Tamandua tetradactyla: one gene and its partner. Each later gene encodes a partner of the first gene's protein in a complex. Links are inferred from orthologs where the notes say so. Each region holds a gene or a part of one and is shown on either strand. Other genes may lie near its edges. The genes, in order: NHP2 and DKC1.

Region 1 (8,384 bases):
GCCTCCTGGTAGTCCTCGTGGGGCTTGACCATGATCACACAGGTGGGGCGCTTGGAGCCAGCGGCCGCCCCCAGGTCCTACAGAGAACGGGGAGAGAAAGGCTGGGGGAAATGCCGCACAGCCTGTACACCAGAAGTCACAACTGATGACCCCAGGCCTAATATGGCCCAAATTGTCCTACTGGGTCCGTATTATGCTCAAAAGCATTTTGAATTGGTTGCCACTTTTTAAACTCAGCAAATTTTCAAGTCACATCTCCATAGGGCAGAGCCTATGTTCTCCAGTCCCCACCACCCCTAACTCTGCGGCACTCCAGCTCTGGCCCTGCTACGTAAAGATAAGGACAGCTGCAGCTTCCCAAAATACTGAAACACCTAACAGGGCTCACACTTGTGCCACATTTTAATTTGGAAAGCATACACACTCGAGTCTACTGGTTTTCAGTCTCACAGTCCACACAGGAATAGATTCTGATTTTATGAGGAGGAAACTAAAGTGCAGGAAGGTAACTTATTTTCGGTTCCACAACTAAGCAGCAGCAGAGCCAAGCACTGATCCAGAACTCTCCTGACTCCAGAGCTTGTGTCCTTTTCCACAATAGCCTAGTGCCACAGTCCAGGTCCCAGACCCCCTCCCAGTGCCAACAAACGTTGGAGGGTGCTGTGCTTCTCACCGTCTTGGAGGGAATGTAGACGTAGGGCATATCCCGGTCCTCACACATCACCGGGAGATGGCAGAATACCTCAATGGGCAGTGTGTCTCCTGCCAAAACCATGATCCTGAGAAGAAAGAAAACACTGTCATTTCTAGCCTGCTCTTTTTTCAGCCCTTCAGTGCTGCCTCTGGGTTGGGCCTTGGGGTTACAGCTCAGAATAAAGTGCCTCTGTCCTCAAGGAACCCATAGTCATTAATGGGGATGTCTACAGTCCTCGAAAGTGGGAGAAAAACAGTGTGTTTGGGTGAGTGCATTCTGGGGGAGATGATCTCTATTTTTTAACTACAGATTCAAATGTATCTCTAACCTAAGAAATAGTTTAGGTCTGACCTAAGACCCACTGATTCAGTGGGAGGTGACATGGCAACAAGTAAATGCCACCAAGTGTGACAAGTGGTAAAGTGACAGAGTATGGCAGGGGCACAAAGGAGTAAGTAATTCTCTTTGGAAAGTCAGACAAGGCTTCAGCCAGGGGCCAGCACTTGAACCAAGGCTGAACGAATGAATGGCAGGCAGCTCATGGGGGATGCAGAGTGCGAGGAAGACATTAAGGCGAAGAGAAGCAGAATGGTACGATACAGCATGGAGGCTGCTGGCAGCCTGGATGGCTTTGAAATCCAGGATGGGGATGAGGTGGGCAGTAGCCAAGAATGCTAGACAGCAGGCAGGCGCCATACCAACGGCCTTGAGTGCCAGGACACCACTAAAGGCTTGTCTGAGAATCCTCAGCTAGGGTTCCTAGCTGGCCAGGTTGGGCTCTGGGCCAAGGACCTCCGGAGCCCTGAAGACAGATGAAAGAATCTGTTCTCCAAGGGTGGGTGAAAGGCAGGCAGGAGAGAAGCCCAGCTCAGAGCACTGCTTCAGTGTCCTGTTTGCCTTCTGCTTCTTGGGCTCTGTTCCTCTGCAGGATTCTCTTCCTTTAAGTACCTTTGAAATGTTGGTAATCCTCACAGCCTGGTCTCCGACTGCCCTGTGTCACTTAACACCTTCTCCCTGGCCGACGTGATCCTCAGCCATGGCATCAGTGCCATCTATGTACTGACAACCCCCAAATCTGTTTTCTCCAGACCAGCTGTCACTCCCATATAACCAATCCCATATAACAATCTGCCTACTGTCTCAAAGGCACCGCAAAAACTTGTCTAAAACCAAACACTATCTCCTCACTCTTCATATACTAAAGTTATTTCAAATCCATCTACCTGAATTCTCACCATCTGCATCCCATCACCAGCCTAATCAAAATCACCCTTACCTTTTCTGGATTGAAGTAGCCTCCAGTTTTCTCACATCTATTCCTGCCTCTCTAATTTTTTCTTTTCTCAGTTGCCAGGAAAATCTTGAACTGTAAACATACTTAGGGTACTACCTAGCTGTACCACTTTAATGGTCCACCTAATGCACAGAGTACAAGAACCAAATTCCTGACTGTGGCTTACAGGGACTCATGAGAAGATAGGACCTCTGCCCACCTCAGCTCTCTCCTGCCCTAGACTTTTATACAGAATCCTCTTCTGCTGGAACAACCCTCCCACCACTGGTTAATCCCCGTCCTCAGATCTCAGCTCAAATGTGAATTGTCAGGGAAACTCGCTGATGCACCTATCTCAACCCCAAGTAGGGCAGATTCCTATCTGAACATCACCCCCTCCCCCCCCCCCCCCCACACACACACAGCATTTTATCTTGGGCATCTATTGGGTCAGACACTGGGGATAAAGAGGCCCTGGTTTCAAGGGGCCTGCAGTCCTATGTGGGAAGGAAGGGAATGAAAATGTAAATAAGTACCACAGGTTCTGATAAATGCCGTAAGATAAGCAGGGCGATGATGTCATTCTCACTGCACCCTGTACGTTTCCTTCACGGTTATCACAATTTGTAATTACTTTTGTGCATGCGATTATTCGATCAGTGTTTCATCCCCACAGTCAGGTGCCAGACAAGAAAAGGATGCCCAATAAATAGTCGCCGAATGAATGAAGCTGGGGTCTACTCTGAGTCCGTGTCAACAACGGGCTTCCCTCCGGAGTCCACTGTCCCTTTGAGCTCGTATAAGTGATTATCGGAATCTGTACTGCAGGGGATTCGTCGGCTGCTTTATCTTCTGCATATGGGGCTGAGTCAGAACCGATTTAGGAATATCCTTCTATTAAGCCGTAAGGGTTTCCCTCTATCTAGACTTGACAAATCCGGCGGGGAGGGGAATCCTTACCCTTTTTCGCCTTTGTTGATAAATTTCTGAACCTCCTTTACCCCGCGCCGAATCTGCTTCTGCTTCACGGCTGTAATGACAGGGCGGTTCAGCCAGGAGCTCTCGCCCCGCCAGACTCGCTCGCGTCCCGGCCGGACCCCGACCCCGGCATACCTTTCTTTATGCATTTGTAGAGCTTCCGCGTGAGTCGGCGAGAAGCCAGGGGCTGCGCGATGGGGTTCAGGTTGACCAGCAGCTCATGGTAGGTGCGCTCCCCGGCGCACGCCTCGGCTTGAGCCTCCGGCCGGTCGGGATCCGGCTTTATTTTGGTCATGGCAGCGGCCGGGGCACTCGCCCAGTCCGGGTAGTCGGGAGGCGAATCCACGCGGCGGGCCGCTAAAGGAATCACTTCCGGGTCAGCCCGCGGTGCGCGAGGCCGGCAGGCCACGACAACCAATCGGAAGCGAGCACCTCCGACGCAGGCCAATCGCTGACGCTCAGTGGCGGAGCTAGGGCAGCGGCTGGAGTCTTGGCGGGGAGGCGGGCCGGGCCGGCGTCCTATGGGACAGGAGGGAAAGGGACCGCGGCTTCCGCCGTCCTGAGAGTTCCCGCGTCGCGGCTACGGTGGCCGAAGGAAGCGGCCGTTCCTGTGGGGGCGTGGCTACGACCGGGGGGCGGCCCTGGCGGAAGAACAGGCTCCCCAACGGCCCTGGGAGGTGCGCCCCAGGTGCTGGACGTTAGGGCCGAAGACCGACGCTGCTAACGCGTTCTTCCGTTTTGGCATCATTTCTCCTACGTGCTCCCTCTCTGAGGAACCCGGATGCACAGCTCCGGAAGAACCCAGAGCAAGGGATCACTGGCGCCTAGGTCTGGAGCTCTTTCCTCCAGAGCGCGCCGCGGCTCGCCCGTTCTCTTCCAGCACCTTCTGCCCACGTATTTCCCCGTGGGAGAGGCTCCCGTCTGAGCCCGTTATCTAAAACTGCAGCCCCCCACCAGCATCCCCCAGCCCTGTATGTTCCTCCTGGTTCTTACCACTGCCTGCCTTTACCCAGGAGTGGGGCTGAGACCGAGTTGGGGCTGATGGGGAAGGCAGCTGACGTGCAGCCTTGGCCCCTGGGAGCGAAACGCACGCGAGGCTAACATAGGGTAAGGGAGGCAGATCTGAGAAGACAGACCAGTTCGGATGTAGCTGTGGAGAACTGTGGATCGCGATGCCAAGGGTGGATCTCGTCATCACTGATAAATCTCTTTGATCTTGTGGAATGCTAGATGGCTATTAACTGATGCAAAGTAATTGCCTTTGCTTATGCGGTGTAGGTCCTTCATTTGTGTGGTGCAATAAGGGGTCAGGAAGCACAACTTTAGAAGTGGGTGGGTGGCAGTGGGGGTGGCGGGTTATTTAAGCCAACGTGTCCAATTTAAAGATGGACTTTTTCATTTTCTTCGCTTTGAAATTGCATGAGAAGAGAGGCCTCTCCCAGAGCTTTAGAAACACTGAGTTACTGCCAACTTTCACCTTACTAGAGACGATTTTGCAGTACCATTTCTCATCCCAAACCCTCCCCTGTCCTCCTACCTCCTATGTGGCAGCAATTCTGATCCTCCCTGGGCAACTCTTTCCAGTGGAATGCAGGGCCTGAGACCAGCCTTGTGGCAGGGCTCCATGGAGTGGTTTTCTATTACCATTTCCCAGGATAAACTGCATAGCGGTTTTCTGTTCGTGTTTCGAAGGGATTTTCTTGTACACAATTTGAGCCTTGTAGATCTGGTGTGAAAATGTACCATGGTCACAAAGGTGATAAGTGCTGCCAAGTGTGCACACAGGGTGTTCTAGTTTGCTAGCTGCCAGAATGCAACACACCAGAAACGGAACGGCTTTTAAAAGGGGGGATTTAGTGAGTTGCTAGTTTATAGTTCTAAGGCCGAAAAAATGTCCCAATTAAACCAAGTCTATAGAAATGTCCAATCAAAGGCATCTGGGGAAAGATACCTTGGTTCAAGAAGGCCAATGAAGTTCAGGGTTTGTCTCTCATCTGGAAAGGCACATGGCGAACACAGTCAGGGCTTCTCTCTCAGCTGGAAGGGCACATGGCGAATATGGCGTCATCTGCCAGCTTTCTCTCCTGGCTTCCTATTTCATGAAGCTCCCCGGGAGGTGTCTTCCTTCTTCATCTCCAAAGGTCACTGGCTCGTGGACTCTCTACTTCGTGGTGCTGCAGCATTCTCTGCTCTCTCTGAATCTCTCATTCTCTGAAATATTTCCTTTTTTATAGGACTCCAATAAACCAGTCAAGACCCACCCAAATGGGTGGAGACATGTCATCCCTTAATCCAGTTTAACAACCACTCTTGACTAAATCACATCAACCAGGGAGATGATCCAATCACAGTTTCAAACATACAGTGTTGAATAGAGATTATTCTACCTTATGAAATTAGACTTATATTAAAACATGGCTTTTCTTAGGGGGCACACTTCCTTTCAAACCAGCACACAGGGCATGATATGGACTGTTTGTCCAGTGACGTGATAGAGAAATCCATCCCTGAGAAACCCAATTCAAACAAATACTGTTGAGTCCTTGGCCTCTTCGGCTGTGAGGACCATTCAGGTCTTATAGGGAAGGAGGAATGAAATTAACATTTTGTGCCAAGGGCATTACATAAAATAGCTCATTCAATGCTCATGAAAACTACCATTATTATTCACGATATACTGAGGCTCAGAGAGGTGAGTCACTAGTTCCAGCTCACACAAAGCTGAACTTGATACAGCCAGGAGGCTGTTCTGAGGGCTACTCTTAACACAAGCTTCCCAAATCCCAACCACTCCTATTAACCCTAAAGAATACTAGAACACTATCTGAAATTCTACAAAAGTTTCATGCACTAAAATTGCTTTCCAGATACCTATAACCTTCAGATGGGTTCCTAGGCCAGGTAAATTCTGAAACCCAGAGGGGCCAGCCCCTCCAAGAACATTAAATAGTTCCATCCCTCTATCCATTCCATCCCCCTTTCCAACATGAAAAAGTTAGAATGGGCATAACCCAAATACCCCTAAAGATTGAGAGAAGAATCAAAGGAGGAGGAGTTATAACAGAGAAAATAGGATTTAACAAATGAGTATGATTGCTGAATCATTATATCAATATTTCTTTTAGTCTCCCATGTCTTGGAGAAGCTGGAAGAAAATCCTAATATTGTGGAATGGTAACCCATACTAAACTGAAATCTGTTTTATAACTTGTATATAATGTACTTTGAAATTTATTGCTTTTTTGTATCTATGTTATATTTCACACAAAAAAAGTTTTTTTTAAAAAAAGTTGAATTTGAGTCCAAGTCCACCTATTTGAAAGCTCAGATTCTCCCCACCCATGTAAACTGGTGTTTGACTTCAGCTCAAAGGATGTGAAACATGGCTCCACTGTGAAAGTGAAGGACCCTCAACCTGGCTACAAGTGTCACAAGTGTCAGCATCTTAAACCAAGAGACAATGATATACCAAGAACAAATGTCTCCTCAGTAAACCACACTGTGTATTTCTAAAGCCAGCCTCAGTGACCTATGCTGATTCCAAGATGGCTTGTGTAACTTTATCAATTTTATTGTTAAAATGTATTGCTCACTTGAGATTCATAGAACCTGCCACGCAGGAGACCCGGGTTTGATTCCCGGCTTATGCACTTTCCCAAACAAGCAAAGAAAGAAAGAGAAAACAAACAAAAATTCAACAAATGGTGCTGCAATAACGAGATGCACACATGGAAAAAGAATGAAATATGACCCCGGGTATATAGCATACAAAAAAAAAGCCATTGGATCAAAGGGAGAGATGTTTATTTGGCACAAAATTTATATTTTAGGTCATAGTGCATTACCTAATTTAACTTGTCTGGTCAGTTTAGGTGAACACTATAAGTACATGGAATCTTGAGTAGGATGTAAGATTTTGTTGGTTTGTCAGGTTAATGTGATATTCTAATACATTCCAGAGTAATTTGGGCAGTGAATAAGGAAATATTTCCAAAGTCCCCTTCTGGGACTGGGAGGAAAGGAGGAAATATTCAACTTTCCCATTTGGAGAATTTCTGATATTCTTGCAATCAGTGGGGACAACCAAATCAATAGACCAAGCCCTCGATCTTGGGGTTCGCCCCTTTGAAACTTATTCCTGCAAAGGATAGGCTAAGCCTACATAAAATTAGGCCAAAGAGTCATGGGAGAGGCCATTTCTTCTCATGCAATTCCAAAGCAAAAAAAATGAAAAAGCAACAGTAGGTAAAAATTTGCTAGAGAGGTTGAAGAACAGCTGTCAGTAGAAAGAGTCACTGAACTTGAGGATAAGGCAATTGAAGTCATCCTGTCTGAGGAGCAGAAAGAATGAGGAAAAGTGAACAGCTCATGAGGAAGTTGTGGGACACCATCAAGCATACCAATTTATGCGTTTGAAAATCCCAGAAGAAGAAAGGAGAGAAAGGGGCAGAAAGAATATTAAAAAAAATAGTGGCTCAGGGCGGGGCTGCTGTGGCTCAGCAGGCAGAGTTCTCGCCTGCCATGCCAGAGACCCGGGTTTGATTCCCGGTGCCTGCCCATGCAAAAAAAATAAATAAATAAAGAGTGGCTGAAACTTCCCAAATTTAATAAGAAACATGAATATTCATATCCAAGATGCTCAATGAACTCCAAATAGGGATAAGCCCAAATAGACACATACCACATGTAATTAAACAGTCAAATGCCAAAGATAGAGAATTCTGAAAGCTGAGAAAAGCAACTTGTCAAATACAAAGGAGTCTCAATAAAATTAAGTGCTGATCTCTCATGAAAACCATGACAGCAGCAAGGCAGTGGGATGACATATTCAAAGTGCTGAGAGCAAAAAACTGCCAACCAAGAAGTCTATATCTGGCAAAACTGTGTTTCAATAAATAGGGAGAGAAAAAAAATGAGGGAGAGATGAAAACATTCCCAGAGAAACAAAAGCTGAGGGAGTTTGCCGCCACTAGACTGACCCTCTAAAAGCTGCTAATGAGAGCTGGAAGGAAAGAACAATGGATCAATAGATCACAGCACAGGAAGAAATAAAGATCTGCAGTGAAGGTAATGACATGGGTAAGTAGAAATGCCACTACTGTTGATTTTAGGTTAGTAACTTCACCTTTTTACTTCCTGCAGGATCTTAAGAGGTATGAGCATAACCTTTAAGGTATAGGCATAACATGTAATGAGAACTCAGTGGTTTTAGACTCATATGGTATAACATGCAATTTGTGACAAGAACTATATAAGCGTGAGGGTATAGAGGGGCACAAGAGCACAGTTTGTGTACACTAATGAAGTTAAATTGGTATCAAAGCAAATGTGATTGTTGCAGATTTAGAATGTTAAATTTAAACTACCATGTGTGCTAGTTTGTATCTATTATATACCCCAGAAAAGTCATGTTATAATCCAGACCCAATCTTGTGAGGG
Region 2 (8,924 bases), on another chromosome or scaffold:
ACAAAATGGGTAACTGCTAGAAAGGGAGAAAGGGAAAGAAATGGCTGTTGGGTCACCAACTAACAGAGCTTACCATGTGTGACCAGTGAAACATTGTAAAGAACAGTCATAGCCCTATAGAACCTGAGGGCAGAAGAGCAGGTGAGGAACTAAAAGGCATCTATTAAGGGACACTATATGACGATTTTACAGGGAAAGCATATTTGAAGGTATTGTTTTAAATTTACTTCTTTAAAAAAATGTAATTTTCTGGGCGGTGTGATGGTGGCTCAGTGAAAGAATTCTTGCCTGCCACGCTGGAGACCCGGGTTCGATTCCTGGTGCCTGCCCATGCAAAAAAACAAAAAAAAAGTAATTTTCTGTTTTTATCGCCCCAGTCCTTCACTAAAGTCTCATATAATGATATATCTTTGTTTGGTGGTTATGTGCTTTGAAGCTGTATGTACCCCAGAAAGAGATGTTCTTAAATCTAATCTATTTCTCTGGTTGAACCCATTGTACGTAGGATCCTTTGATCAGGCTACTTTAGTTAGGTGTGACCCACCTCATTCAGGATGGATCTTAATCCTCTTATTGGAGTCCTTTATAAATGGAATGATATAGAAACAGGAAGCTGAAAGTAATGAAACCCTGAAGAGAAGGGAGAGACCAGCAGATGCCGCCCTGTCCCTTGTCATGTGGCAGAGGAGCCAAGGATTGCTGGCAGCCAGTGTTTGGGAAGAAAGCATTGCTTTGATCATGCCTTGATTTGTACATTTTCTTCATCTCAAGCTGTGAGCTAATAAATTCCTGTTAATTAAATCAATCCATCTCATGGCATCTGCTTTGAGTAGCCTAGCAAACTAAAACAGTGGTGTGGAAGAAAGGAGTAAGTGATGAGCCATAAGCAATTTTGAGGCTAACCTTCAATGTTCACTCATCCATTCACATGCTCATTCTCATTCTCTCCAACCCTCCCCCGCATATATACATATACCGTTAAGACAGCAAGAGTCAGTTTCTTTCACTTGCAAATGAAACATTTCTAACTGACTCTGGACTTAGTACTGTAAGTAAAGCCTCCCATGTGATAATTCTCAGAGAAGTGTAGGACTTTTGTTTTGGTTGTCTGGCCAGATGTGGTGAAAAGACAATCAGAATCCTATTAATAATCTGGACTGGGAATCTACTAGCCTACAGCATGTTACTAACAAATCAGGTACTAATTGTTTGTCATCACTTAAACCTATCCATCGCTGTGAAATGTCTGGGATAATTCCCTTGCAGGCTTCTTGGTCTAGGCATCACCTCTACATAAACCTCCACTGTAGATCCTGACCCTCCTATAAAATTCCATTTTTTCCTGGTGGGTCAAACACTTTCAAATTACAATTGCATTAATATTGTCTAGATATTTCCTGTTACATATTAGTATTCTACTACTCTTTTGATATGCAGGCTTACTCCTACTACATTTGTCTTTGTAATTGTTCCCTTAGTGAATGTAGAGATGAATTGTAGTCATAGGTCTTTAGATATTGGGGTGGGGTGGGGGTTAGAGGAATGTGAATATCTGGTGGCAGGGCATGCAAGGCAGAAAGAAGAGCAGGTACAAAAGCCCAGAAAGTGGGGAGTGTGCCTGGAATAGACATGAACAGCCAAAAGACCAACGTGGGGGTACGAGTAGCCAGACCTGAATTCAGAAAGAGAACTGGGGGCACATTCTGTCAGCTATTATTGGGACTTTGACTTTTACTCTTGGTGAAATGTGGAGCTTTGAGCAGAGGAAGAATATGACTTAAGTTTATTGACTCTTTTGGGCTGCTGCATTGAGAAGACACAGTAGGTTGGAAAGGCAGAAATGGGGGGACCTGTCAGGAGGCCACTGGAAAAATCTCAGAGAGCCACAATGTCAGCAGGGGCCTTAGTGACAGCAGCGAGGGTGGTGAAAAGCGGTCTGATTCTGGGCTTGCTAACAGACTGAATGAGGAGTGTGCAACAAAGAGAGGAATGGAGGATGACTCTGACACTATTTTGTCTGTGCAACTGCAAGAATGGAGCTACTACTTACTGAGATGAAGAAACCCAGAGGAGAACTAGGTTTGGGTAGAGTATCAGGAGCCCAGTTACGGACACTTCATGTTTGAGGTGCCTTTTAGATATCCAGATGAAGATATTGAACAAGAGGCCAAATAGACACGTTTGGAGATTAGGGAAGAGGTCTGGGCTGGGGATCTGATTTGGTGAGTCATTGCCATTTAAAGACATGGGCCTCGATGAGATCACCAACACAGCAAGGTACAGCTAAAGGAAAGGGCCAAGGAATAAGCCTTGGTGCACTCTGACATTAAACGCTTGGGGTGACAAGGAGGAGTCAGGGAAGGTGCTTGAGATGGAGTGGCCAGTGAGGTCAAAGGGGAACCAAGAGAGTAGGATGTCCTGGAAGCCAAGGGAAGCAAGTGTCCAAAGGGACCAATGGACATGTAAAATGTTGCTGGAAGCAGCCATCTCCATCTGCAGGGGGTTGTTAGGGAAGTCACTGATACCTGTTAAGTGACCTCAGCCCCAGCCTCACCTATCCTCACCTCCCTCTCTGGGAAAGTCAGGAACACACTTTAAGTAGCCATTGTACCTATGGGCTTCTGCTCCCTCCACTTCCTTTTTCACTGTGTGACATTCTAGAACCTAGTCAGACTTAACACCCAGAAACTGGGAACCAGCAGCTCCAGATGCCCGTCAGAATAGGAATTCTCAGTGGCAAGCCCCCTCCTCCTGAGGTGAATAAAACCCACATTCAAACAGTACAAGTGGGTCTCTCTTCTCTGGCATGAAGTGGGGCATGTGGGACAGCCATCTGTCAACACCTACCTGGAACAGCTTTTGGCCACCCAGAGGGGACTGGCTGTGAGGGGACTTCTTCCCCTGCTCATAGACTCTTTGTGCTGTGAAAACAAGGAGACTATTCACCCTTTCTGGACTCTTTATTCTGTGCAAGTAATAAAGGGATCATTTGCTGAAAGTTTCTCTTAGGCCCTGAACCTGTGTTCCCATGACAAGCAGTTGAGGCAAGGTGCTCCCTAGCGACAGCAGTGGAAGTGAAGGCTGTGAAGAACTGAGGGAAAAAAAGGACCTGTAGGTGTCCCTGCTTGTAACTTGTCCCCCAAGCTCCTAAAATGAAGCCAGGTGAACCAGAGATGGAAGGGCTTCACCACCACTAACTACCCACCTGCATGGGTAGATTACACCCTTAGTCCAGGGGCCCATGAGTTGGGAAACCCCCTTCCTGCAGCTCCAGAGTGTGTAAGTCACAGAAGAGGCAGCTCTGAAGCTGCTGAGTGAGAATGGAAATGTTGATTATTGGATAAGATCAACCCCTCTAGCAGGCAGATAACCATCCGGACAAGGACAAGGACAAGAGCTCCATTGCATTTCTGGCCGGGTCCATGTGGGCCCTGCCTTAACCCCTATAAGTTCCCTGCTGAGGACTTAGTGCCTCTGGCAGTTCACCTGCTCTCCACTTGGTGGAATGCAATATTATCTTGAACTTGCGATCTCTGAACCACAGGCCCCTGTGATGGCAGCAATCTTTAACTCATGCCCGCAGGGCGGGAGGGTGGAGGTACATTTTTGAACAGGCTCTAACTAAGAGATCATTCTCTAGGATTGTGTTCTTACAGCATAACCTCTCACCTTTTCATCCTAATCGCTAGACTCTCCAGCAACTCCAAACTACATCCCCTCCACAGACTCCTCCTAATACTGTAAACTTTCGACAGCTTGGCTGGGGGTGGGGTGGGGGGAGCGAGGTCACCTCCCCAGGTAATGTAACCCCACTTTGGTAGAGAGGCAGAAGTTGATGATACGGGAAACAGAAAGGGGAATTGCTGGAGCAATGTACTGAGTAAGCAAAAGGGCTTGGGATCTGGGTGAAATGGAGGGGCTGGCCTGAGTTAAGGGCATGGGTGTTTCATTCATTCAGGGATAAGGGAGGAAAGGCAAAATATCTTTGGTAACTGGTGGGTGGGTTGTTAGATAGATATGGTAGAAAAGCCTGCGTGGAGATCCTCTTGTGATTGCTTTCGTTCTTAATAGAGCCAGGTCATCATCAGTTGAGTGCCAGGTGTGTTGGCGGTTGGAGGAACAGGTGAGGAGCGCCTCATGGGAGAGTGCGGCGTCAGCAGGAGCGCCAGGTAGCGCTGAGGGCTGGGCTGCCGCCTGAGACTGTCTGCGCGACGGGACTTGTAGCTTCCGCAGCAGGGTGCTAGGGTGCGGGCAGGATAGGTGGACAGCTGAGTTTAGCAGCTTGTGGCTTTGACACAGCACCCCTCGCAGTACACCGAGACCACCCGCTACGGGCCTGGTCCGAATTAAGGGGGTGCCGTAAGGGATTCGAAGACTTGATACGGGGGAAGAAAATAAAGGATGTAAAATACCTTATTCTAATGTTTCGCACCGACTACACGCTGAAGTGGTAATATTCCGGATACACTGGGTTAAGTGCGACGCATTATTAAAATGACTGTCACTTGTTTCTGTTCCCGGGCCCCCACGCGGCTCGCATTCTCTTCAGCGCCGCTCGGGGCCGACGGTCAAGTGAGGCGCGGGGGCCTCACCGCCTCTCTGCTTATTTCCTTATTTTGTAACGGGGGCTGTGGGCCCGAGGAAGCGGTGAGGTAATATTGACAGAGCGTCTCGCACACAGCCCAGGGGCGGCCGCGCGGGCTGGACCGAGCGAGGGGGGCGCAGAGGTCGAGCCCACAGGCTCCGGGCCGCCCCGGGCGCGCCTCCCTAAGCGCCCCCCGGCCCGGGCCGTGGAAGGAGGGGCGAGGCCCGAGGCGCCCGCGCGCACGCGCCGCCCGCAGGGGCCGAATTGGCCAATGGGACCGCTCAGGCGGTCTGCACGCGTCCAGGGCCCCGCCCCGCCCCTCGGCGCTGCACGTAAGGGACGGCGCGCGGGTGGGTGGGCCCTGTCGGCGCGGACTGACGAGACCCGGTCGGCGGGACTCGGCGGTCGTTACCTCCGCGATAGCCCGGGCGGCGCGCACGTTGTGCGGGGAAACATGGCGGACGCCGAAGGTAAGGGCTGCGGACGGCCGGGCCGGGGTCTCCGGGGTCAGAGGGAACTCTGCGGACTCGGAGAGCCGGGGGAGCGGCGTCGGTGACTCACTGCCGGGGACCCACTCCCGGGCCTCTTGCGGGCCTCGCCTCCCGCTCCGCACGTTGCTTCACCTGCGGGGAGAGCGCAGGACCTAGAGGCCCTTTCGGTGACGTGACCCTGCGGGGCCCGGGCCCCCCGCTAACGGGAAGACCTCCTTAGGGCACTTGGTTGCAAACAGAAGATGTGCTGGCCGCACCCAGGTTCGGGCGCCGCGGGATGCGGGCTGGAGGGGGGTGGACGGGTGGGGAAGAAAGGGGCCGGAGGGCTTTGGGCGCGAGGCCAGCTCCCAGGTGCAAGAAAGTCCCCGAGACTACAAGCTGGCAGGGCTAGCCCAATGGACGCTTTGGAAGTTTCGGGACAGCGAGCGCTCCTCTGCGATTTTTAAGCCCCGCCATGGCCACGTGGTGACCCGGAAGGGGCCCCAACACGTGCGACAGCCGCCAGCTAGTTACCAACCCATGCGGAGTACCATGGTATAGCTTTTGTCCTCAGCACTACTCTTAGATGGAAAATCTGTATTCGCCTGCCCCGATTTCCACTTTTTCGTTTTAAACTTGGATGTCTTTATTTTCGGGGGAAACTTCCAAATCTCGTGTATCTTTTTTAGTAGTTATTTTGCCAAAGAAGCATAAGAAGAAGAAGGACCGAAAGTCAGCACCAGAAGATGTAGCTGTGAGTAGGAATATGTGTTATTTTGGTTAAACTAAAATTTTACTTAACTAACAAACTCAAGAACTGTTTTTCAAATATCTAAGAGATGGGCCAGAATTGGATGCTCTTTGCATAGAAATCCCAAGGGACTGAAAATGAGAATGCCCCCCCCCCCCTTAGCCACCCTAAGTTTCATGCTGGTTTACTAACTGCAGTTGGCTATACCAGATTATCTCCCTATCACTCTTTCTTCCCAACTCCACCCACACACCCTTCATCTCCTGTTTTCTTTAAACATTTGGACCTATCTTAGTGATACTTCATTTCTTTTTCGGAGTTTCTGCTTCTTCTCTTTCTTTCTCCCTTGGAGGCCCCAGTGAAGAAGTATAGAATGCCTTGCTTTCTATTTAAAAGGCGTATACTTCTGTACTAGTAATGGAATTTCTAAAGATCAGGTGAGAGATGTAACAGTGTGTGTTTCTGTTCTGTCAAAGGAAATTCAACACGTAGAAGAATTTCTTATCAAACCTGAATCCAAAGTGGCTCAGTTGGACACATCTCAGTGGCCCCTGCTGTTGAAGGTACGTGGTCAAGATCAGGCATATGGGCTTTGTTACACAGCAAAATAAAGGTATAAGTATGTTACGAAACCAACACTTGGCTACTTCCCGTGATCTCATACATACTTTTATCTTCTCCATGTGGCCATTGCGTGTCCTTGAGCCCCTGTCTGTACCACTTTCTGTACCATCAGTCTTCTCCACTGCGTTTCATTTCTTGAAAGCAAAAATGCTTACTCTTTGACTTCTAGGGAATGCAAAACGATTTAGTTTAAGGCAGTGCTCCTCCAGGTATCTAAGATAATGGACCAGATTTTTTTTTTGAATTTCCAGTATACTGAGTACTCTTCTAGAATATAATTAAAATATCACAGCAATGTTAAACTCCTATCACAGTTTCTAAATACTTACCTGTAACTTTCTCTACTTAATCCATCTTAAGGACCTACAACACTTTGTGGACCACACTTTGAATAACATTACTCTTGTATTTAAGAGCACAAGAGCAATGAGTCAGTCAGGCTGTGTGACCTTGGACTAGTCATTTAATCTCTTCTGCTCACAATAATTATTTTAGGAAGATTTGCTGAGGATTACAGGAGGTAATGCATGAAATATGTTTATCTCCAGTGCCTGGCAACTAGTGTGTCCTGTAGAAAGTATTGTCTATTAATTAGTTTTAAATAGGGTAGTTCAGTCAATTTCTGCTTGGCTAGATGTTTCTGCTATTTAGACAACATCTGCTTCTCTTTTGTAGGCCCCCTGAGAATATGTTGGTGAAGGTGATAGGCACAGTCCTCTATTGGGGAACTTAAAATTGAGGGTGTGGGAGTTACACAAGAAATAATTCTATTTGTGATAAGTACCATGATGAAACCAAATTGGATAATGTGAAAGATGGGCTTGGATTGGAGTCAGGTAGTTCAGCTAGGGTGATCTGTGAAGAGCAGAGGTAAGAGCATCTGAAGCAGGGACAGGATGGTTATTACTGGAAACATTATTGCCAATAATCCTAAATTTGGTTATTCCTACCCACCTCCCAAGAAGGTCAAAGTTCCTCTGTATTTTATCCATAAGTTTGCCCAGTCTATGTTCTGTACCCACGGAGTACTGACCACTTTCTAGAGCAATATATTAAATTTTGAGTTATCAGCTCTACCTTGTTCTTACTAACGTGGGTCATTTTTCCTGTATTTAAGAAGGCTTAACAGTCTGCCATGGCAGATGATGAAAAACAAAGAACAAAAATTCAAGTTATGAACTTTGAGGGTTATATCGTGGTTGCTTGCTGGTGCTGACTTTCCGTTTTATACGTGTTAATGGTTCCAAAACAAGAACTATAGAACCATGAAGTTTATTTTGTGTTGTATTGTTGCTTTCTAGAATTTTGATAAGCTGAATGTAAGGACAACACACTATACACCTCTTCCTTCTGGTTCAAATCCTCTGAAGAGGGAGATTGCGGACTATATCAGGTATCTGTATCTGGGGCAAGCACTGTTCGAACTCTTGTTCCTTTAGAAATGTTATTTTTATATCAGTTCTTTAAGTAGGTAGTTGTACCTTTGAATGGCATTCCCCTTAATATATAGTGTACCTGTGATGATTTCTATTTTATCCTTCAAAAGTTTTGTTTTGTACTGAATGAAGCTGCATGTGAGGTATAGGTTTTTTTTTTTCTTTTTCTTTCTATTATCATTTTAATTCTTATTCTGTTGTCTTTTTATTTCTTTTTCTAAATCGATGCAAATGTACTAAGAAATGATGAATATGCAACTATGTGATGATATTAAGAATTACTGATTGTACATGTAGAATGGAATGATTTCTAATTGTTTTGTTATTTCTTTTTTTAATTAATAAAAAAAAGTTTTGTTTTGTTATAAGATATATATATATATATTTTTAATTCCCCATTCTAGGACAGGTTTCATTAACCTCGACAAACCCTCCAACCCCTCTTCCCATGAGGTGGTAGCCTGGATCCGACGAATACTTCGGGTTGAGAAGACAGGACACAGTGGTACTTTGGATCCCAAGGTGACTGGCTGTCTAATTGTGTGCATAGAACGAGCCACTCGCTTGGTAAAATCACAACAGAGTGCAGGTATGTGCAAGAGGGAGGGAGGTGGTGAGTACTTTACTACGTTTCCCTTTCTGGCTTCATTTTGGCTCTTGGGAATTATTTCTTCATTAAGAAAAAATATTCCTAAAGCAAAATGTTCTATTGGTTTCTGTGTACATTCTGTTCTTTGCCAGATCTGCATGGGTCTGCCCTTTCTTGGAGTTCCAGGTACTACACATGTACATCAAGCTGGGGAGATACATTCCTGGCATTAAGTCAGAACTCTAGAAGGTCTTTCTGAGAGTACCTTTTGCCTTATTCTAGCCTCTTTCTCCATGCTGCTGCTTCTGTCTAAAGTGCCTTTATTTAATCATTTTTTAGTTAAAAAATAGGAACATGAGGTCAAATTGCCTGCTTTTCTAGCAGCACAAAATGGAAATGGCTTGAGAATATATAAATACAGAAAACTTAGTGGCCACACCTGACTACTCTTCTGTCATTTTTCAGGCAA

The links.
Region 2: NHP2 (region 1) and DKC1 share a complex: the UniProt entries of both Homo sapiens proteins name them as parts of the H/ACA small nucleolar ribonucleoprotein (H/ACA snoRNP) complex. The link is inferred for Tamandua tetradactyla from reciprocal best matches to the Homo sapiens genes NHP2 and DKC1.

Annotation. Positions count from the first base shown.
Region 1 is NC_135346.1:59,725,000-59,733,383, forward strand, and holds the start of NHP2 (H/ACA ribonucleoprotein complex subunit 2), read right to left. Parts: upstream 3,320-8,384; 5' UTR 3,241-3,319; coding exon 3,081-3,240; intron 2,998-3,080; coding exon 2,928-2,997; intron 780-2,927; coding exon 674-779; intron 123-673; coding exon of another isoform or gene 78-122; coding exon 1-77. UniProt on the Homo sapiens protein: Required for ribosome biogenesis and telomere maintenance. Part of the H/ACA small nucleolar ribonucleoprotein (H/ACA snoRNP) complex, which catalyzes pseudouridylation of rRNA.
Region 2 is NC_135353.1:1,660,206-1,669,129, reverse strand, and holds the start of DKC1 (H/ACA ribonucleoprotein complex subunit DKC1), read left to right. Parts: upstream 1-4,934; 5' UTR 4,935-5,039; coding exon 5,040-5,055; intron 5,056-5,744; coding exon 5,745-5,809; intron 5,810-6,282; coding exon 6,283-6,369; intron 6,370-7,731; coding exon 7,732-7,823; intron 7,824-8,270; coding exon 8,271-8,455; intron 8,456-8,920; coding exon 8,921-8,924.